Linked DNA regions of Rattus norvegicus. The protein of the gene in region 3 purifies or fractionates together with the protein of the main gene of each other region. This does not show direct contact. Links are inferred from orthologs where the notes say so. Each region holds a gene or a part of one and is shown on either strand. Other genes may lie near its edges.

Region 1 (7,381 bases), on a different chromosome or scaffold from region 3:
TACAGATATAAGGTCAAATGGCTGGGGTTTCTGTTTTTAAAAACAACATATTGGTGCCCCGGCCATTTGATTTATCAAAGAAGAGTCAGGTGCTAGATCCTGGGGTTAAAAACCTGCGAGCTCAAGAGGCAGAGAAAGTGCCCAGCTGACCTTCCTCCTCCAATCCAGATGTCCGAAAGGAAAAAGCCCCTTCTTTCTCCACACTGTCTTAAATACCTTTTACTCAGCTCTCTCCTTTTTACTTCTTTATGCTGAGTCCCTCTCAGCTGGTTACTTAATCAGCCTCTTCACCTGTCATTGACTTCATTTAATCCTGTTGGTCTTTCCAGTTCACAATCTTGGAGTTTCCAATGTGATCAACTATCCTGCACTCTTAACCACTGAGCCATTCCTGCAGCATCCTCACCCCACCATTTTTTTAAAAATTTGAGACAAGGTCTACATAGCCCTGGAATTCACAGAGATCCGTCTGCTTCTTCATCTGAATGCTGGGATTAAAGTTTATGTCACCATGCCCAACTTGCAAGCATGTTTCTAACCTATTATTCTGTGAGCTATCATCTATTATTGACATTTATCTTGTGGTGCAAATTGTCCCGGGTTTGAGCCGCCACCAGAACCCCTTCAAGCTAATTCCTGAATATCTTTTTTTTTTCCTGAATATTTTCTTTCTTGCCATGCTGAGTTTCCAGCACAGTGTGTCACACATGCTAGGCAAATGTCCTAGCACCGAACTAAATCTCAACTTAAGTAATTATTTTCTGACACATCTAGCTCAGGGTGATCTTAAACTTGATATACAGCTGAAGCTTGCCTTGAACTCCTGATTCTCCTGTCTTCACCTCTGAAGTACTGAGATTACAGGCCTGGACCATCAGGTCTAGCCAGAAAATAGTATTTTAAGCTCTGGGCTTTAGGGCTGGGAATTTAGCTCAGTTGGTCAAGTTATTTGGCTAACATGTGAAGCCCTGGGCTTATACCTCAGCACTGCACTGAAGTGGGTATGGTGCACTCGGGAGGTTAGAGCCTAGAGAATTATAAATTATTCCTGGCCATACATCAAGTTTGAAGCTAGCCTTAGATATATGACATCAAACGTGTGTGTGTGTGTGTGTGTGTGTGTGTGTGTGTGTGGCATGGTAGCACAGCACATCCTTTTTATTCAAGTGCTTTAATCCAAGCACTCCAGAGACAGGAGGGTGGATCTCAGAGTCTGAGGCCAGTCTGGTCTACACAGTGAGTTACAGGACAGCCAGGACTACAAAGAGAGACCCTGACTCAAAAAGAAGGGTGGGGGAATGGCTCCTCCGTTTAGAGTGCTGTGCTGGGTTCAGTGTCCAGTACCTATATGGTGTACATACATGCACTCAAGTTTACATATGCATAAAATAAAAATTTAAAACTCTGGGAGCTGGAGAGATGGCTCGGTTTCAGAGGACTTGGCTTTGATTCTTAGCAACCCAACCACATGGCAGCTTACATTTGCTAATTCCAGTCCCAGGGGACCTGATGCCAGCGTCTGGCCTGTGAGGTCAAACACACACACACACACACACACAGAGTACACAAATTTTTATTTTGTACACTGCTACCAAATGATCTATTTATCTTTCCCCTGCTCGCATACCTTTTGGGAAGTGTGTGCCAAGTCTCACCTGACCTGCTGGCCTTAAACTAAATATGTAGGGATGACTTTAATTAATTCCATTTTTCTGCCTCCAATGGGTTATTAATCTAAATGTAGATTTGGACTCATCTATACAACTATGTTCAGTTTGTTAGTGTCCACCCAATCCTATATTTAATTTTTGAATTGTGTTCACCAATAGTAGGATTTTAGGTTAACATTCCATGACAAAACCTGGGTGTGATGATGTATGTCTTTTTTTTTTTTTTTGGTTCTTTTTTTCGGAGCTGGGGACTGAACCCAGGGCCTTGCGCTTCCTAGGTAAGCGCTCTACCACTGAGCTAAATCCCCAGCCCCGATGATGTATGTCTTAATCCTAGCACTTAGGAAGAAGGCAGACAGATCTCTGTAAGTTTAAGACCACCCTGGTTGGCACAGGGAGGTGAAAGCCAGCTAAAGGAAATAGTGAGACTTTCAGGCTCCATCCAAGCTGTCAGATCTATTCCACCTGTATAGAAATCCATTTTCCTGCTCTGTTTTACCAAGTACCTCTGGTCAAATTATATAAATCTTGCACTACTTTGAGCTTTGAGTTTCTTAGTTACCCTTGTGCCCAAAGCATGGACCAATGTTCAACTTGTCTTCCTTCTGAAACAAGGTCTGCCCAGCTGACCTGGAACTTATATAATCCAGGCTGGCCTCAAACTTCTGATCCTCCTACCCTTCCTTCCTAGTGCTGGGATTGAAGTTGTGAACCACCACAGCTGCCCTCATTTTGAATGACGGCTGCCTTTATAGGCAAGCATTGTACCACGATTCTCCGACAGTGTCTTGCTATGCAGCCTGGGCTGGGTTCTGTAATATACTCTTAGAAGTCTAGCCTCCAGACTGCCTGTATTGTTACTGTTCTGGATTTCACTATCCCAGAAAAAGTCACTGAATTTCAGTTTCAAATTGGACACCTTTGTTAGGATGCACTTACGCTCAAGTAGTCATTCTAATGCTCATTAATATTCTAAAGGAGGTAAGATGGAGAACAGCATATTTAAAAACCCACCTGCCTTAAAGTTACCTGTACTAGGTTTGTCCTAGGGTTTTTTTTTTTTTTTTTTTTTTTTTTGGCCCACGAGACTCCGCCCACCGCTCACCCAGTGGCGGAAGAACCTCACGCTACGACGTGATACCTCACACCACCGCGGAGACTTTCTGACGTTACGCTTGTGGCGTGGGAGGGGCGGGTCCACCGGCACTTCCCCTTCCTGGCTTTGGCCCCTCCCACACTCGTTGTGAAGCAACCGCGGCCGCCAGTATTTAAGGTGGCTCGGAACCTAGAGGTGCTCTAGGCGCCTGCGCGGCTCCTTTTCCGCCCTAAGGGCTAGACCAGTCTGAGCCACAACTGGAGCCTCTTCTGCTTTCCGGAACTAACCGCCTGGCGGCGCTCCCCGCGCCCCTCCCCCGCCGGCGCTTCCGCCCGCGCTCCTCCCTCTCTCCTTCTCCAGCGACGCGCACGCGCGCCAAGCCGGCTCGCGCCCTCTCGCTATCCACCGGCCCGCGACATCCCCCCCTCCCCTTCCGCCTCGCGGCGCTTCCTCGCGCCGCCGTCTTCTCAATCCACCCCTGACACCGCGGGGCTCCCCCCGCCCGCCAACGGCGGGTCCCCTGCTTGGCGATCTCTCTCGCTTCCCGCGCTCTCCAGCAGGGGCCCAGCCTCAGGCCCTCTTTCCCTTCCCTCTAATTTCTCTTCCGGACGCTGCCATCATGTTGAAGCCTCAGCCGCCACAACAGACCTCCCAGCCCCAGCAGCCGCCCCCCACGCAACAGGCCGTGGCTCGCCGGCCTCCCGGCGGGACTAGCCCTCCCAACGGCGGCCTCCCGGGACCGCTGCCCGCTACCGCGGCTCCCCCGGGGCCTCCCACAGTGGTCTCTCCGTGCCTGGGGCCTGCAGCCGCTGCCGGCAGCGGGCTCCGCCGCGGAGCCGAAAGCATCTTGGCGGCGCCAGCGCCGCAGCAGCATCAAGAACGGCCAGGGGCAGTGGCTATCGGCAGCGTCAGGTGAGAACGGGACTCCTGGCTGGGGAGAGCCCAGGTGGCAGCGACTCGGCTTTGGCGGAGGCGCGCCGGGGCTTGGCGCTGTTGAGGGGCTCTTAGGGCCCAGAACCCCGTGAAGGAGGGGGTAGACCCTCGTGCCAACAGGTCGGAGAGAAAGATCTCCGGGCGGTCTCCAGGAGCCTGGGGGCAGTGCTCGGCTCTCTGGGCCTAGTCACCGCTTGGGGTCTGGGCCCTGAGGGGAGGCGGGGCGCGTCCCGCCAGCTCCGTCGGAAAAGGGTGTTGGGGGGGTTGAGGAGGTGATGGGGTCCCCAGCTCCATTACCACGGAGGATCTCGCGGTCCCCGGTTTCAGCCAATGGGGAGTCAGCTGCATGAAGGGGTCCCCGGCTGTAGCCAATAGAGGGGGGGCGCGCGGCCCACAGTTTGACCAATGGGAAGGGAGGGACTTGGGAGCAGATTGTTCCCTCCTCTTCCCGGTGTAGCCAGTAAGAGGGGAACGGAGTGGGCGGGGGCGCGGAAGCAGCGGCTACTGGGAAGACTGCAGACTGGGAAGCTCCTGCGCGCGCGCTCCCTGCCCGTACGTGCGCGCGGATGCTGTCTTATGACTCGGGCATTGGCTTGCCCCGGTAACACGTAGAGCAAAGACTGAGGAGGGGGGGGTTGGTTGGAGGGTTTAGGGGCGTCTGGTGTTGGTGAGTGAGGAGTGGGTGCCCTCGGTTTTCTTGGTGTGTCAATGCGATTAGAAGCAGCCACTAGACGCAGGCGCAGTGGCTTCTGTTCTAGAGCGGGTGGAGGGCTATGGGCTTTAGTGCGCAGGCGCATACCGGGCGAGGCATCCCGGTGGATGGTTTTTGCGGCTGCGCGGTCCCCCAGCCCCGCCAACGGCCCCCTCCTCGCCCTCCTCAACTGCCGGTTACATCAGCCGTCGAGGAGCTGTGTTACCTGGCGATTGGGGATCCTTTCAGAGTGGGTAACAGGCTGAATGAAAATAATGAGGGCGAAAGGGTGGGGTGTGGAGAGTATACCCCTCCTGGGATTTGGAATCCAAGGCTGCTGAAAGTGCTTTTTTCCTTTGGGAGGTAATGTGTCTAAGCTCAGTAGTGCTGCATTTGGGGTGCCCGAGCTTTCACCTTCACAACTGAATTGGGCTGTTGGTTTACAAATACAGCAGTGTTTTATGGGAAGAGTGAAGTCCCCTTGGAGGAAGTCAGGTTGTATTGCATTGGCTGTTAGCCGCATTTGACAGCTATTGTTTATTGAATTTTTTGTTGGCTTTTTAAAATCTTGAATTTGGAGAAAATGTTTTAGCAAGTAATTCCTGCTTTCCTCTTTAATGTGAGCATTTGTTAATCAGCCCGTAGCCTAAATCAGCAAGTTGACATGGTACATTGTTCTAGGGTTCACTGTTAATTAAAACTAGTTTCTCTCTTTAACAGGGGACAGACCACCGGAAAGGGACCCCCACAGTCACCAGTGAGTGCCTTTTTTTCCTCTTGTAAAGACTCAGAAGACATAGGGTGGGACAGTCTGGGAAGAAAGAGTATTCACCTGCTGCCCTTTGCTTTTTTCTTGTGTGACAGGTGTTTGAAGGTGTCTATAACAATTCCAGGATGCTGCATTTCCTGACAGCTGTAGTGGTAAGTGAGAGCTTTAACGTTGGGTGTCTGAGGAATATGCTGTTTCAGTTTTTTAAAGTGACTTAATCTTTCACCTTGCTAGGGTTCTACCTGTGATGTAAAAGTGAAAAATGGCACCACTTATGAGGGCATTTTCAAGACGCTGAGCTCAAAGGTCAGTGTACTCAAATCGTGGAGTTTCTGAAGCTGTGTATGAGAGTGCAATTGAGGTTTGTGTAGGGTTGAGAGCAGGCAGTTTTGAGGCTTTTGCTAAGTTCTCTGGCTGATGTTGAGAAATGCAGAACAACATGAGAATTTGATGTTGAAAGACTAGAAAGCTTTGAGAGAAGCCATCTTTTCCTCCCTTTGATACTGACCCTGGAATGTTGGGAATGGGGCTTTTGTAGTTTGAACTGGCAGTAGATGCGGTACATCGGAAAGCCTCTGAGCCAGCAGGTGGGCCTCGTCGGGAAGACATTGTGGACACCATGGTGTTTAAACCAAGTGATGTTCTGCTTGTCCACTTCCGAAATGTTGACTTCAATTATGCTACTAAAGGTATTGTTCTATACTGTTGTGCCAAGAAACTGAGTAGAGGAAGCCCATGGGTTGGACAAATTGGCTTGATTTATCTTTTTCAGTACGTTTTTCAGTAGCGATGACTTGAGTTCTTGAAAACATCTTGATACCTAATAGAGTCCAATGAATGTGACTAGTGGTGTAGATACTCCTGTTTTCCTGTTTCATGCTTTCACCTTTAGCATTTGGATTATTAGATTGGGCCTTTTTTGTTTGTTTTGAGTGTCTTTGTATATATGGCTAGCCTCCTTAGGCTTGGATTGCCTCTGCTTCCTGAGTGCTGGAATTACCAGCATTCACCATCCCATCTAGATCTGTTTCACTAGTCTTACCTGCTCCCATAAAACTAAATCTGGTGTTTCTTTCTTTGTGTTAAACCACTTGGGGTTGGGAATGAGGGTGAGAAGGGGGTGCATCACCTAACCCTCTTTCTCACCTTGGCCAACAGACAAGTTCACTGACTCAGCCATTGCCATGAACTCTAAGGTGAATGGAGAACACAAAGAGAAGGTGCTTCAGCGTTGGGAGGGCGGTGACAGCAACAGTGATGACTACGATCTGGAATCCGATATGGTATGTTCTCTGCTCCTGAGAGCAGGCGGGCTGAGTTGTGGTTGGCATGGGTTGTTGATGTGGACAGTCATTATTTTTTGTGGGGTGTTCGTGTTTGGAGGAGAGTGTTGTTCATTTTTGTTTTAGGGTCTGTTTTGGAAAGAAGGGTAGAAGAGGATGGGTCAGTTTTCCCATCCTCTGCATTGAAAACTGTTAACCTTTCTCTATGGCAGCACTTGTTATTGTAGTAAAAAGTCTTAAGTTGAGCATGGTATAACCCATACCCTCTAATCCAGCCTTGGGGAAGTTGAGGCAGAAGAATTGTGAGTTCCCAAACAGTCTGGACTATATAACAAAAAGTCTATCTTTATAAAAGCCGAGGAGAGAAGTGGTGCTGTGTAGGACTGTGCTTCTTCACACTGCTACCTCTGAGCTTAGGTATAAATTAAGCTGACAAGGTGGGTCAGCAGCTAAAGGTGCCTGCCACCACGCCAAGTGATGGAAAGGAACAGACTCCTGTAGATCGTCCCCAGACTTTGACTCACGTGCCTACCACACCACAGGAACAAACCTACAGAAGTAAAGGAAAAAAGGGTTTTTGAGTTTCTTTTTTTGAAAAAGCCATGATAGCCCCTGTAATTCCAGTTTAGAATGTGAAAACAAGAGGACCAAGGACTCGAGGCAGTCCTTCCTTGCAATTAGAACACAAGACCATTTCTCAAAAACGTCTTGTTAATAGATGCATGTCAGTGTGTTCAGTTTCCACAGGAGTTTTTAACTTGGTGGAGGCGAAATGGCATGCTATCTTCCCTTTTTTTACTGAGTTCTAAACATTCTTGTTCTCGTAGTCTAATGGATGGGATCCTAATGAGATGTTCAAATTTAATGAGGAGAACTATGGAGTGAAGACCACCTATGACAGCAGTCTATCTTCTTACACGTAAGCATTTTGGGAGTTTG
Region 2 (7,221 bases), on a different chromosome or scaffold from region 3:
CAGTGATAAACCAAGTCTCTTTTAAAGAGTCTAGTCAATAGAAAAAAAAAAGGCCTTTCGAATTGTTCAAAGAGGCGAAGTTCATTTTATATGGATTTAAAGGTAAATCCATCAACATAGTGTATCTAAAAAAAAGTCTATTTAAAGTTAAGCCACACAACAGCAGGTTCCTTGACACAACAAAAACCTTAAGAATTATAAAGAATTGAAAGCTATACAATATAAACATAATGAGTTAATGTATTCATATTTATCATCCAAAAGAATCACTAAGGCAAAAGATGTGACTAAAAGTAAGAGATATTTCAAATGACAAAGAATTCTGTGCATAATTTAGAATTATATCCAGGAGTCCACAACCATATGCCAGGGTGTAGCATCAAAAATATGAAACAAAAAGTGATAGGGAAAATTAATTAAAGAAAAATAAACAAATCCTCAATGGATGATTTCAATATGTCTCCTAGGTAGTAAGCAGGGAAATAGTAAAATAATTTTTAAAAATAGAGAATTTAACAGTTCTACAGATAGAACACTGCATTTGGTAGTTGAGGAATACAGGAAATTTTTAAATACAGGAAATGGGGGGAGGGCATTTGATCACAAAGAAAGTCTTGGCAGATTTCTACTAGAAATCACTCAAATTCTCAAGAATGACTGAACTGTGAATATTCTTACATGCTACAGTACATACTGTGCTATGTTAATAAAATACCTACGCTGTGAGAAGAAACAAGCCAAAGACATCCAACATGCTATAAACCACACACGAGAACATTAGTCAGACATAAACACACAAAGTTTTATGCTAACTATAGTGTTTAGAGTCCCACATGCAAGCATAATGTTATTGCGCCCTGTGTAAAGATTATCATTGTATTTTTCCAATGCTGATTTCTGTGCCCCCATTTCTGGTTGCAAACCTTATTCTAAGACTCTGCTGTCTCTATGTTGTATAAGCATCACTCCCCAATTATTTCTTGATTAGTCAACAAAGCTAGTTGATCAGCCAGTGACTGAGAAAGGGAGACAATAGGGTTGAACTTCCATCTAGCCAGGGGAGGAGAAAAAGAGAGGAAAGAGTGGGGGAAGAGGGGAGGAGAAGGGAAGGGAAAGAAGGGGAGGGAAAAGAAGGAAAAGAAAAGAAAGGAGAGGAGAGGAGAGAGAGGAAGAGACACGTGAGGATTAGGCAATCTGAGAGTCCAGAGGCACCATGAGAAACACCTGGAGCCCAGAGAGTCCAATCAGTAGTACCAAATGCAAATATCACTGGAATTTTGCTTGGGAGGTAGACAGATTAGCATAGAGAACTAAAATAGAGTAATATCGCTCAGTTGTTATACCCTTAAAGCTTATTAAATAAATATAGTAGTCCAGTCTCAATTATTTGGGAGCTATCTGGGTTAAAAGAAAAACACAGCAACACACTTATTAAAATGCCACTAACACCCACAAACAGACGGCAAAACTCCAAAGACACCTCTCTCTCTCTCACAGTCACCATGGTGGCTTACTAAGAGAAAAGCTATGATTAGAGAGAACACACACACACACACACACACACACACACACACACACACACACACAAAGGTGTAGAATTTTCCCTTGTGACTTGGCTGTGGTGTATTAGTCAGCTAGGACTCCCACAATTAAAATAGATGGAGTACCTTAAATAACAGAAATTTGCTGCTCACAATTCTGGCTGGAAGTCCAAGTCCAAGGCATCTGTAGGAATGGCTCCTCTGGGCCTCCTGAACTGGCAGCCTCCTTCCTGTCTCTTCACAGCACTTCACCTCAGTGTGATTGTTCCCCTGTATGCTAATCTTTCCTTATTATAATGACATCAGTCCTGGGTTTGGACGAAGCCTGATTGCCTCAGTTTAACAAAATTGTTCTTTAAGAACCAAACGTATTCTCTAAGGGACTAGGAGCTAGGAACTTTAAGACGTGCCATCAACAACACTGGGAAAGCAAAGACAGGACATTGGGCTTGGGTGTCTAGGCAATCTAGCCTAAGCCAGTTAGAGACCCTGTTTGAAAAAGGAGAGAAAAACTGACCCAAATTCTCAGGACCACACCTAATGTTGTCCTCTATTCTCCACAGGCACAGGTCCAAGCACCGGCATATGTACACACACACACACACACACACATACACACACACACACACCCCACATCCTGTCAGACATTTCCAACATCCATCAACACCAAAGAAGGATCAACGAAGGTACTAGTTTGTGATTAAAGAAAACACAGTATTCAGAATTATTTCAGTTAGTTTTCACCCACCTAAAGGAGCGGTCAATGATTGTTATTATGTCTCCATGTTTCAGCTGCACAGGCTCATTTATAATAGTGCCATTTACTTGAGTTGGATTGGCGGAACTGAAATTATATAATATTGCCTACAAGGAGAGAGGAGACGCAAACACTAAGGTCTTGCTTCAAGTCAACTTCAAAAGCTTTAAGAGTTGATTTCCAAAGCCAACTTACCTCTTGTTCTTTGACTTCAATTTTGCAATGTTTTTTTGACACTACAGGCAGCTGTATACGAATGTCACATTCAATACTCCTTAATACAAAAAAAAGTAAGGGTTTTTATGAAGGTACAACTAAAAAAGAAATGCTCAAAATTTCAAATGAACAGAATTTGACTAGTATGTTTAGACTATAAATGTAACAACACAAGGACTGACAAGATTATCATGGGCAGTGCAAACAACGCTCACAAGTATTGCCAAGGAAGCCATAAAAGATCATTAAGACTTCTAGTACTTCAGAATGATTATATTAGAAAATACCAGAACACACAACCAATTACTTTTCATACAAGTAGTTATAATTACAAGACACGTATAAAAGAGAACTTTATATCCGTTCAGGAGAACTTCCTGATGTGTTTATAACAATATGGGTGTTTAAGGGCACAGAAGGAACTAGCATAAAATGTGCCGTGGGTAATCAATGCCTCAGTTTCTTCATACACAAAAGGTCTATACCAGCACCTGTGTTGCTATTCAGTTATAACTGTGTATGTCACTGGCACAGTTAATCCATGTGAGTTTTTAAGTTGTTGTTTTAAAACCACACCAAGTTGACAGACTCAGACGTCCTCACAATACAAACACTAATCCGCAAACAGTATCTAGATTAGAACATCTTTCTAGAAAGCTAGCACAGTGGTGGCACAGCACAGAAGGGACGATCCTAACTCAGTCAAAACCAGGAATTTCACTGATAGCTCCATCATGAACATTAAAGTCAGAACATACCCTACATACTGTTTTCCTATGAACCTCTGGCGTCTAAGTATATCTCTTACAATAAATAGCACACAACCAAATGCAAATTATTAACATTTTTAAAACTTGTTAAAAGTATATTTAAGTAATATTGCAGAATAATCAAAATGAATGACACCTGTGACAAGAATATTTACTTTCTTCTTTTAAACAACAACAGCTATAGAAATTTCCTTACTCTTACAGCTTCCTTACTGTCAAGAAAACAGAGGTTTTGGATATCAAAACACCAGGCAGAGAGACTCTATGTTGGAACCCAGTTTCACTGAGCAGAAAGAGTACCGCAATGCATACTACATACAGAATGCCACAGATATTCTAGATCAGATAATTCCTCAAGCGCTGATTCCTGTCAAATACACCATGTGTCTGTCCTCAGCAATACTAGTGGCAGATACCTCTCCCAGGATGATATGAAAATCTGTCACCAGACTCTGCCAAATGTCTGAAAACTACCATTCGTGCCTGAACTCCATCATCCTACCAGACACTCACCCTGTGTCACACACTGACTTAAGTGTCAGGCGCCATATGGAACCCTGGGGATGTAATCACTAACATGGCATCCCTTGCCTTGGAATTTTAGTCTACTGGGAGACAAACAAAAATCTAAAACCTAGTCACCAACCTGCATGGTGTTAGAAAAGACGAGCTTTCTTTAAATCACATTCTCAGGTAACATTTCAAAAGCGGCAGAAACTGCTTTAAGGGTCAAAGTTTGCAAAAGTGGCAACGCAAGCAACCGCCTGGAAGGCCTCAGGGTAGATTGCTATCCAGGGGAGGGAAAGAGGGGATTCTCCCAGAGCACCGGAGCAAGGCTCTCCTATCTTCACCTTTCCAGAAACTTCCAGAGCCACAGCTGGCTGCCTGAGAGTGGCAATGTGGGAGTTGCGGGACACCGATGTCAGCTTCGCGTCTACTTGGGAAGTTCTCAGTGTGTGAGCGTGACTTCCGAAAATGCTACAGGGGCAGCTCTGTCAAACGCAAAGGGCGGTAGGGGCGCGGGGTCGCTGCCCGCGGTCACCTCGGCCCCTGCGCGAACTCACCTTCCAAACAGGCAGGAGCTGAGGCTCAGCGGGAAGTGTGCGCCGTCATCGCCGCTCCGTTTGATGGTGACCAGGCGAGCTGAGGACGCCATGGTCCGCCCGGCCGTCAGTCCGGAGTCAGTGACTGCGGCCGAGGGCGGAGTAGCCCCTCTGTGAAGCTCGCCGTCTCGCCGCCCGGCCGCTCCTCAGCTGGTTCTGACAGCGAAAGTTAGCTCTGCCCGCGGCTCACCGGGTGCAGCCCGCGTCAGAACCCTCGGCTCCTCAGCCGCGGAGGTCCGACCACGGCCACCCGCGGCCTTCGCTCCGCCCCGACCCGCACACCCGCCGCCCGCCGCCCGCGTCCCTGGTACACACGGCCGGCCGCCCGCCCGCCCGTCCCGAGTGTCCTCCAAGGCGGTTCCGCGCCAAGGCTGCCCGCCGTGCCCGCCCAATTCAAACGAAAACGGCGGTTCAAATTCTGGCGCTAAGTGCTGCGATTGGGCCATACGGGCAGCGAGAGACCAATGGAAAGGGCGACATAGGATTGGGGAAGTCCAGAGGTGGAGCCAGGATGCGGGCCTGGTGGTGAGGCGGAGCCGGACAAGTGGGAGGGGCCAGGCCGGTAGGCGGGGCTGGGCCCGGAACTGGCCGGAGAAGCGGGACCAGGCCAGAGTTACGTGCAGGAAGGCGGGCCCCCGAGGCTTTCGTAGGCAGAGCGTCCCAGATTTTCAGCGGCAGGGAAACAAGCAAGGCTATCTGTAAAAAGCTACCTATACGCCGCCTCCCCTGGAATCAAACACCAGCAACGCCGTGTCTTGCTCAGCACTAGAAGCTTCATATTTTAAAAATTAAAGCCCTTCCTCTGCAGTTTCCTCATCACCGCATGCCTTTTCAGTGTCCCACAAACTGTTCTTTAAAACGTGGAGGATATTACATTCATCCTACAGTCTCCCTGCTTAGTGAACGCGGAGGCAGTGGCACGGTTTTTCCAAAACCATAAAGAGTTATTGCTCAGCACAGTTAAGTTTGCAATGCGTTGCTGCTTCGGGGTGGAGGTGAGGGGAATACCAGTTGAAGTAACCTGTGCAAGACTACACCTGCAGGGCTGGGGATTTAGCTCAGTGGTAGAGAGCTTACCTAGGAAGCGCAAGGCCCTGGGTTCGGTCCCCAGCTCCGAAAAAAAGAACAAAAAAAAAAAAAAAAAAAAGAAGACTACACCTGCAAATCCTAAGATAGGGATCCTGGGGCACCAGTTGGGGTTTACCAGGACAAGTGCCAGGCAGATGAATTCATGCTTTGCTGTTCTCTTTTTTTCATCCTCCCTCCTGTTTCTGGATCAGCGTACTTCCAGTAGGGTGTTGTGAAAATTCCACTCCTGGGGCAATATAACCAATATCTATCTACCCTCTCCTCAAGGTCTCAAGGACAAGCCTTAAGTATGAAGCCACCAAATTTCACCCTGGGAAACCAGTGTATATTAGAGCATCCTGACCCAGGCAGGCTGATTAGTTATAGCATACCTGTTGGCCTCCACACCTAAACCTCTGGTCAGGACTTCAAAGATATATTTAGGGTGTCATTGGGCTTCTTTGTTTCTATTCACTATGTGTCCACACTGTGTCTTTCACTGTCACCTCTTTAATTAGTCTGTTGAGGATGGGTGGTCCAGCCTGCCTTGTTAGGGCTGTCAGGATCCAAACTTTACTGTAGCCACTTGGGCATTACCTTCTCATCCCCAAACATAAGCAATGCACCTAATAAGGGCATCTCACGATGTCATCTACCAAATGCAATTAAGATTTAAAAAAAGGCAAATCACCACACACACACACACACACACACACACACAGAGATATTTAAAAAGCAAATCAGTTCATACACACATACATACACATATATCATAAATGTGTATAAATGTGTGTGTCTGTGTCTGAACATGCAGATATGAGTACAGGTAACCTCTGTATCATAGAAGAGAGCATTGGATCTCCCAGGGCTAGAGTTACGGGCAGTTGTGAGCCTCCTGAAGTAGCTAATGAGGCCTGAACTCAGTTTTTCTGCAAGAGCAGTGAGACCTCATAACCACTGTGCCATCTCTCCAGCCCTCGTTTCATATATTTTTAATTGTTTTTTAAATGTGCTTAAAATTTAAGCTTTATGCTTTGTTTTAAATTATAGCCTTGAGGAACGTAACGTTAAGAGCCACAGCGTCTTCGCCACTTTTCCATTGCCATGACCAAACACCGTGACCAAGGCAACGTATAAGAAAAATGTTTAACTTGGGGCTCACAGTTCCAGGGAGTTAAGAGACCATCATGGTGGGGAGCATGCAGGCAGGCAGCTAGGCATGGCCCTGAAGAAGTAGCTAGGGACTTATATCTGATCCACAAATGCAAATGCAAAGCACATAAAAGAGAGAAAGAGAGAGAGAGAGAGAGAGAGAGAGAGAGAGAGAGAGAGAGAGAGCGCTCAGGATGGTGTAGATAATTTAAACGTCAAAGCCCATCCCCAATGACATACTTCCTCCAACAGAGCCAGAGCTCCCAACCCTTCCCCCAATGGCTCTACCAACTGGCAACCAAGCATTTAAATATATGAGCCTATAGGGGCCATGTCATTGAAGCCCCCTCCCACCCATGGGATCATATGAAAAGCCTTTGTAAGGCTACCTAGGCATTATAAAAACACCCTATACTCTCTTCCTCATTCCTCACTTTAAAGCATACATTCTCACTCATCTTCAACTCTTTAGTCTCACTTCCCTCCTGCTCATCCAGAAGTTCTTTTCAGCAACATTACCAAAGAAAGCGAGGGGTGGGGGTGCGGGGATGTGGAAGGGGGGGTCCTGTTGATAGCGGCTCTGCTGGGCTTTGTCTGCCCAACATTGCTGACAC
Region 3 (6,581 bases):
CCAAAAAGAGGAGATGGGATCCCCTAGGACTGGAGTTTCAGACAGTTACAGGCTGACATGTGACACTGGAAACTGAACCCAGTCTTCTGCAAGGACAGTAAATGCTCCTAACAGCCAAACTGTCTCTCCCATCTCTTGTCAATTTTCTTAAACAAAACTGTTAACCTAGAAAACAGCAATTCTGGCTCCACGGAGATGAAGCTAGGCAGCTCCAGGGCTTACTAGCCAGCCAGCGTTACCTAATCTGAGAGCTCCAGGTCAGCAGAGACCTTGTCTCAAAAAAACAAAGTACACAGCTCCCCAGGGAAAATGGCAGAAGTTGGCCTCTGGCTTCTCCCTGCATGCACAACTCATAAAAGAAAGCTTCACGCACATCAACAAGACCCTGCTTTCTGGCGGGTGCTACTCTAACTACTGTGCAGTTACCACACCGCAGTCCGTCCTCAGTGAACCCGCACACCCCAGGGAAACACCTTCTATCCTCTCCCTGTATACAGGCTCCTCCCATTCTCTACGCCTGTTAAGTCTCACATCCAAAACCTGCCCAAAGTCCTAGATTCAGACCCTTACCTGTGATGCTGGCACTTTGACCACATGAGGTGGTGTCCCTGTCACTGGAACAGCCCCACTGGGAGGAAGGTTCTTACTAGTCACAGACGCCCAAGAAAATGTCTAGGGAAGAACAGGACACATCAGAGCCATTAGTTTCTGCTTCCCATTACCTCTGCAACACTCACAGGCAGGAGAGTCTAAAAGCATCTGCCACCCCACACTATGTACTAAAACAGTCTTAGAAGCAGCCAAGCATAGCAGCACACCCATAGTCCCAATATTTAGGGGACTAAAATAGGCCAGCCTGGGCTGAATAGTTAGATCATCTTAAAGTCAACCACATAATTACAATGAAGAAATAAAAATGTAAAAAAACTAGCAGAAGGTAGGGTAGTAGGGGGCACACCTTTTTAAGTTCAGCACTTGAAAGGCAGAGGTAGGTGGATATCTGAGTTCAAGGCCAGCTTGGCCTATAGAGCAAGTTCCAGAATAGCCCAGGCTACACAGAGAAACCTTTTCTCAAATAAATAAACTAGCAGAGAGTGGGTTCGTGGCTCAGTTAGCAGCTTTGCACAAACTCCTGGGTTTAGTCCTGAGTGCCTTATAATCAGGCACAGCAACACAGAACTATAATCCCAACAACCAGGAGATAGGAGCCAGAGGATCCTCCTCAGCTTTGCTTGGAGCTTGAGGCCAGCCTGGGACAACATGAGAACCGGTCTCCAAACAGGAGGAGCTCCGTAGCAGCCAATGCCTGGCACACACAACACCCCCATCCCCGTGACCTGGGACTGATCTTTAGCATAGCAACAAGAAACAGGTAATAAGACAGCAATACAGTGCTAAGCCACAATCCGTACCCTCAAGTCCTCCTGTGCTGGGGCCACGTCTGCCGGGGCCGGGGAGGCGCTCTTCTGCACATCCTCAGGAGCGGCTTCTTCCAATGCAGGCTCAGGCTTGTCCTCTTGAATGTCGGACACAGGTTCCGGTTCCGGCTCTGGCTCCGGCTCTGGTTCTGGTTCCACAACAGGCTCCTCTAAATGTTCCTCCAAGTCATTGCTGTCATGGGAAAATTCAACGGGTCTCTAGGACTCAGCCAGACACTTTGAGCCATCTAATGACTCCAGAGAGAGTTCTCAGGACCAGAGCTTGTTTGCTAAATTCTGATGAACATAACGATCAAACAGAATCAAGTGGTTCCTCATTCAGTTCCTATTAATTAGCTTATTAATATATGTATCACAAAACCCTTGTATTGAATGGGTTAGAGAAAGATCAAACTCTCTGAGGCCTAGCACAGGTCCAGTAAGTCTAGTAAGGCCAGTCAGTCTCAAAATATAGTAAATGTTATCATCTGTGGCTTTAGACACACAAAACAGGCCCTATAGAAATACACAAGGGGGTGGAGATGTGGCTTACTAGTTAAGAGCACGGGCTGTTCTTTCTTCCTGAGGTCCTGAGCTCAATTCCTAGCACACACATGGTAGCTAACTATGTGATCCAATGCCCTTTTCTGATGTGCAGAAGCACATGCACACAAAACACCCACATACATATAATAAATACATCCTTAACAAAAAACACACTCCAGGAGTCCTGGAAGAAAAGACACAAGTTAGACTCGAGAACAGTGGTTCCATTCCCACACCAGCTGCCAAGGAATGCTTGCTGACCCTGGCCTTGTTCTTCCTCCTGATACCTGACCTCAGTATGTAAGTCTGCAGGAAAGCACATTCTTCACTCTCAGCCTACGGTGAATGAACAGGTGTGACCACACCTTGATAGACACTTGAAAGGGAGCGCTGAACACTGAAACTCAGGTTTTGACAGTATGGAACAATCATGGCACAGTGGCCTATCAGGACCATAAAAAGACTAAGACAACACCACTCATTATTTGTGATTATGAGAAAATTTTTAACAAGGGTTTTCTCATGTAGCCCAAAACTGTCCTTTTAAATAAAAGTATTTTTTATATGTCTACATATGTTTTTAAGTGTATACAGTGCACCAAAAAAACCATGATTCCTGTAACTGGAGTTAACAGAAGTTCTAAGCTACCATGTGGGTGGTGGGAACTAAACTCAAATATTCTGCAAGAGCTGCCAGCAACCTTACCACAGCTGAACAGTCTCTCCAGCCAAGAGAGCCTTAAATGTTTTATTGCACTTACTTATTATGGGGAGGAAGGCTGAGACACACATGTCATGGCACACATGTGGAGGTCAGAAAATAACCTGAAGTAGTCAATTTTCTCCTTCCAACACGGGGTTCCAGAAATCTAACTCAGGTCATCCTATGTCACTACACTCTCTCTGAGCCACAGAACTGGGCTAAAAAACTTCATTATTACTCAGTTTATGGCTTTGAAATCTTTTTTTTAAAGATTTGTTTATTTTTTTTTATGTGAGTACACTGTAGCTGTCTTCAGATACACCAGAAGGCATCAGATCCCATTACAGATGGTGGTGAGCCACCATGTGGTTGCTGGGACTTGAACTCAGGACCTCTGGAAGAGCAGTCAGTGCTCTTAACCGCTGAGCCATCTCTCCAGCCGGGTTTGAAATCTTATTACTCTAGTTAAATGAGCTCTTCTGATACATGTGTGGGAGCCCACAATCTCAGCATCTTGAATGCTCAAACAGATGTTCTAGGCTTAGCCTCAGCTAAGTGGTGAGCACTTGTCTTCAAAACAATTAGCAACCTGAACCATATACATTCATCAGTTTCCACAGTACATCCTATAAAATAAAGTTGCATATTGCTAGTTATTCAGAAATAACACAGTTAACATCTTTTCCTAAAAACTTACTATTGTTTTGTTGCTGAGCTCATGGAGGCTGTGTTCAGCCTCTAGAACACTGGGAACAGGAATGTGTCCACATCTGACTCACTGCTGAAGGTCAAACCCGAGACTCGGTGAACACTTACCAATCTGTCTGTCACTGACACGGACACCCAGACTCCGCTCACCTCCTGGAACTCATGCCTAGAAGACAGGTCTGTCTCCAGCACAATCCAAGTTCTTACTGCAAGCCTGAGCAAGTGAAGGGAAGTTCCCTTACCTAACAGTCTGATCATAGAAAGTTCCAGAGTCATCAGCAACCACCTCTGGTGACTGCTGTCTTTCTTCAGGTTCCTCTACTTCTTCCTCAGATTCTAAGAAAGGAAGAGACATAAAATAACTTCACTCTATACTCATAAATTTCTTAATCTACAGGCTCTACTACAGACACAAAGAAAAACACAGTAAAGAAAGCAGGGCAATTTGGTAAAGCCACAACACAGACTTTAAGGGAAAAATTAAGTATTTTAATTAAGAACACAGAATCTTAAAAAAAAAAAAAAAAAAAAACTCTTTAAGTCTTTAAAAAAGCTGTTTACTCCTGCCTTACCTTCCTGTCATCATAACTCCCCACCCCACCAAGATACTTTATTCCCCTTAAACTGTGAGCAAAAACAAACAATAAAGGGCTGGAGAGATGGCTCAGTGGTTAAGAGCACTGACTGCTCTTCCAGAGGTCCTGAGTTCAATTCCCAGCAGCCACATGGTGGCTCACAACCATCTGTAATGAGATCTGATGCCCTCTTCTGGTGTGTCTGAAGACAGTTACAGTGGACTCTTACAGGATGCACCTACAGCAGGCCCTCCCACCTACAGAATGAAGGACTGCACCTAATGGGTCTATATATTTAGAGCTCAGTACACACAAAGACTATCTCCCCACAGGTCTGATCCTACACCCTAGTCGTCCCTTCCTTCCAGGCACCTTCTACACTTTCAATAGCATAAAGCTTTAGAACAGAGCCAAAGGCAAGCACCTCCACTGCCCATTCCACACAACTGGGGAATCCCTAGAAAGACTGCATGCCACTACCACCACTCAGTGCAACACAGGTCCATCAGGCCTTCTGCATGGTATTCTGCACTGAGCCATGCTAACTGGCCTGCTTCTGACCCAAGAGTAACTTATTCATTCACATTAACTAGGTGTGGTGGTTTGAAGAGGTTTGGCCCTATTAGAAGGTATGGCCTTATTGGAATAGGTATGACCTTGCTGAAGGAAGTGTGTCACTGTATAGGAAACTCTGAGGTCTCCTATGCTCAAGCTCCACCCTGTGTAGAATCGGCCTCTTCTGGGATGCCTTCTGATCAAGACGTAGAACTCTGGGCTCTTCCAGCACCATGTCTGCCTACACACACTGCACACTTTCCGCCATGATGATAATGGAATGAACCTCTGAAACTAAGCCAATTAAATGTTTGCTTTTTAAGATTTGCCTTGGTAGTGGTGTTTCTTCCCAGCAATAAAATCCCTGTAAACCCCCTTACACTGGTGATTCATAAAATACAGTGTAACAAGAACCTTCTCTTATGCCACACAAGTAACCATGACAACAGCTTCACACTTACCCTCTTGAGGCTCTGTGACAAAGCCACCGAAGACCTCATCTTGGTATCTGAAGATGTCATTGTGAACATAGAATTTGTTGGCAACAGAGCCCTGCAATGTCAGCAACAAGTTTTCAGTTATTCACACTTATAAAACACTGAACCATGAGTATTTATCTGCTTCCTGTTTCTGATGGAATTAATGTGGCCAGCCTCCTCATATCCCCCCACTGTCTGCTATGAAGGACTGTACCCTCAAAAAAAAAAAAAAAAAAAAAAAAGTGAGTCAAAGCAAACCCTTCCTTTAAAAAACAAACATGACTGTACCAGTGGTTCTCAGCTATGGGAGGGTTTGGCCCCAGCAGACATCTAGCCAAGTCTAGAAATACTTGTTTCACGGCAGGGATTGGCCTCTACTAATCAGATTGCTAAGTGCCAACCGCATTCAAGACAGCCAATGTCTTCGCCAAGACTGAATGCCCTACTGTTTGAAATCGATTGTATGCAATTATAAAGAACCTCATAGACATTGTTAAAATATCCCATCCTTACCACCAGATGGTCACCCACAGAGAGAGAGAGAGAGAGAGAGAGAGAGAGAGAGAGAGAGAGGAGAAGGGGGAGGAAGAGGAGGGAAGGAAGGAAGGAAGGAAGGAAGGAAGGAAAGAAGGAAAAGTCTTTTATAAGATACAAAAGACGGAACATTTTCAACCACTCAGAGGCACAGTAGTTTCAACTCTAGCAGGAATTTAAAATGCCCTGACTCTTAATCTAACCGTATCAATCCAAATGTGCACGGTGGTGTAACCCAGATCTCTCCTGTGATTTAGACACACAAGCCCGAATCCAATCATCTTACTGATTAGCTGTTCAAAATTTCTAAAGCTGTCCCTTCATTCACAAAAAGTGGAATATCAAAACATACCATAGTGCTTTGTGTACTGACGTATTGTGTACTGTAGTTTATACAATAATACATTTCCTTAAGGGAGATAAACGCTTCCCTTGAAAGACAGAGGGACACTGAGTCTATAATTAATAATATAGGCTGTAAAATCTCGTATATGGAGAAGTTAACAAGTAGTCATTGTCCTCCTCCTCTTCCTCCCTCCTCCTCTCCTTTTTTCTCTTCTTCCTTCCCACCTCCTCCTTCTTGTGATCAAGTCTTTCTTCTTCCTTCCTCTTCCTCCTTCAAGATAGCTCTTGGTTTACTGTGGGCTGGCCTAAAGCTTGCAAACCTCCTGACTCAGCTTCTCAAAAGGTGGAGTTACCGGGCTGGAGAGATGGCTCGGTGGTTTAGAGCACTGGCTGCTCTTGCCGGGACCGAGACCCAATTCCTGACACCCACATGGTGGCTCACTGCCATCTGTATCTCCAGTTCCAGGGAATCCACTATCCTCTTGTGGACTCTGGAGGCACTACATGCATGCAGACAAAAAACCCATACACACAAAAACAAAAATATTCATTCATTCATTTATTCATTCATTCATTTATTTTAAAGCTGGAATTTTACTCTAAATCCTGCCTACACCCTCAATGGTGGTGCTAGAATATCTGAAATTCTAGCACTTATGAGGCTGACAAAGGAGGTCACTGTGATTTCTAGGACAGTCTGAGCTACATAATGAGGTTC

The links.
Region 1: the proteins of G3bp1 (region 3) and Atxn2l purify together in Homo sapiens (affinity purification with mass spectrometry; 4 studies listed by BioGRID and IntAct, with this or other methods). This does not show direct contact. The link is inferred for Rattus norvegicus from reciprocal best matches to the Homo sapiens genes G3BP1 and ATXN2L.
Region 2: the proteins of G3bp1 (region 3) and Mki67 purify together in Homo sapiens (affinity purification with mass spectrometry; 3 studies listed by BioGRID and IntAct, with this or other methods). This does not show direct contact. The link is inferred for Rattus norvegicus from reciprocal best matches to the Homo sapiens genes G3BP1 and MKI67.

The regions. Positions count from the first base shown.
Region 1 is NC_086019.1:190,516,167-190,523,547, reverse strand, and holds the start of Atxn2l (ataxin-2-like protein), read left to right. Parts: upstream 1-2,968; 5' UTR 2,969-3,385; coding exon 3,386-3,678; intron 3,679-3,996; exon of another isoform or gene 3,997-4,088; intron 4,089-4,133; exon of another isoform or gene 4,134-4,265; coding exon of another isoform or gene 4,266-4,300; intron 4,301-4,392; exon of another isoform or gene 4,393-4,407; coding exon of another isoform or gene 4,408-4,753; intron 4,754-5,110; coding exon 5,111-5,147; intron 5,148-5,254; coding exon 5,255-5,311; intron 5,312-5,393; coding exon 5,394-5,465; intron 5,466-5,697; coding exon 5,698-5,848; intron 5,849-6,317; coding exon 6,318-6,442; intron 6,443-7,269; coding exon 7,270-7,361; intron 7,362-7,381. UniProt on the Homo sapiens protein: Involved in the regulation of stress granule and P-body formation.
Region 2 is NC_086019.1:199,947,908-199,955,128, forward strand, and holds the start of Mki67 (proliferation marker protein Ki-67), read right to left. Parts: upstream 4,687-7,221; 5' UTR 4,441-4,686; coding exon 4,349-4,440; intron 2,573-4,348; coding exon 2,494-2,572; intron 2,406-2,493; coding exon 2,290-2,405; intron 1-2,289. UniProt on the Homo sapiens protein: Protein that associates with the surface of mitotic chromosomes and acts both as a chromosome repellent during early mitosis and chromosome attractant during late mitosis.
Region 3 is NC_086028.1:40,106,457-40,113,037, reverse strand, and holds part of G3bp1 (ras GTPase-activating protein-binding protein 1), read right to left. Parts: intron 5,058-6,581; coding exon 4,967-5,057; intron 3,712-4,966; coding exon 3,618-3,711; intron 1,612-3,617; coding exon 1,413-1,611; intron 673-1,412; coding exon 571-672; intron 1-570. UniProt on the Homo sapiens protein: Protein involved in various processes, such as stress granule formation and innate immunity. Plays an essential role in stress granule formation.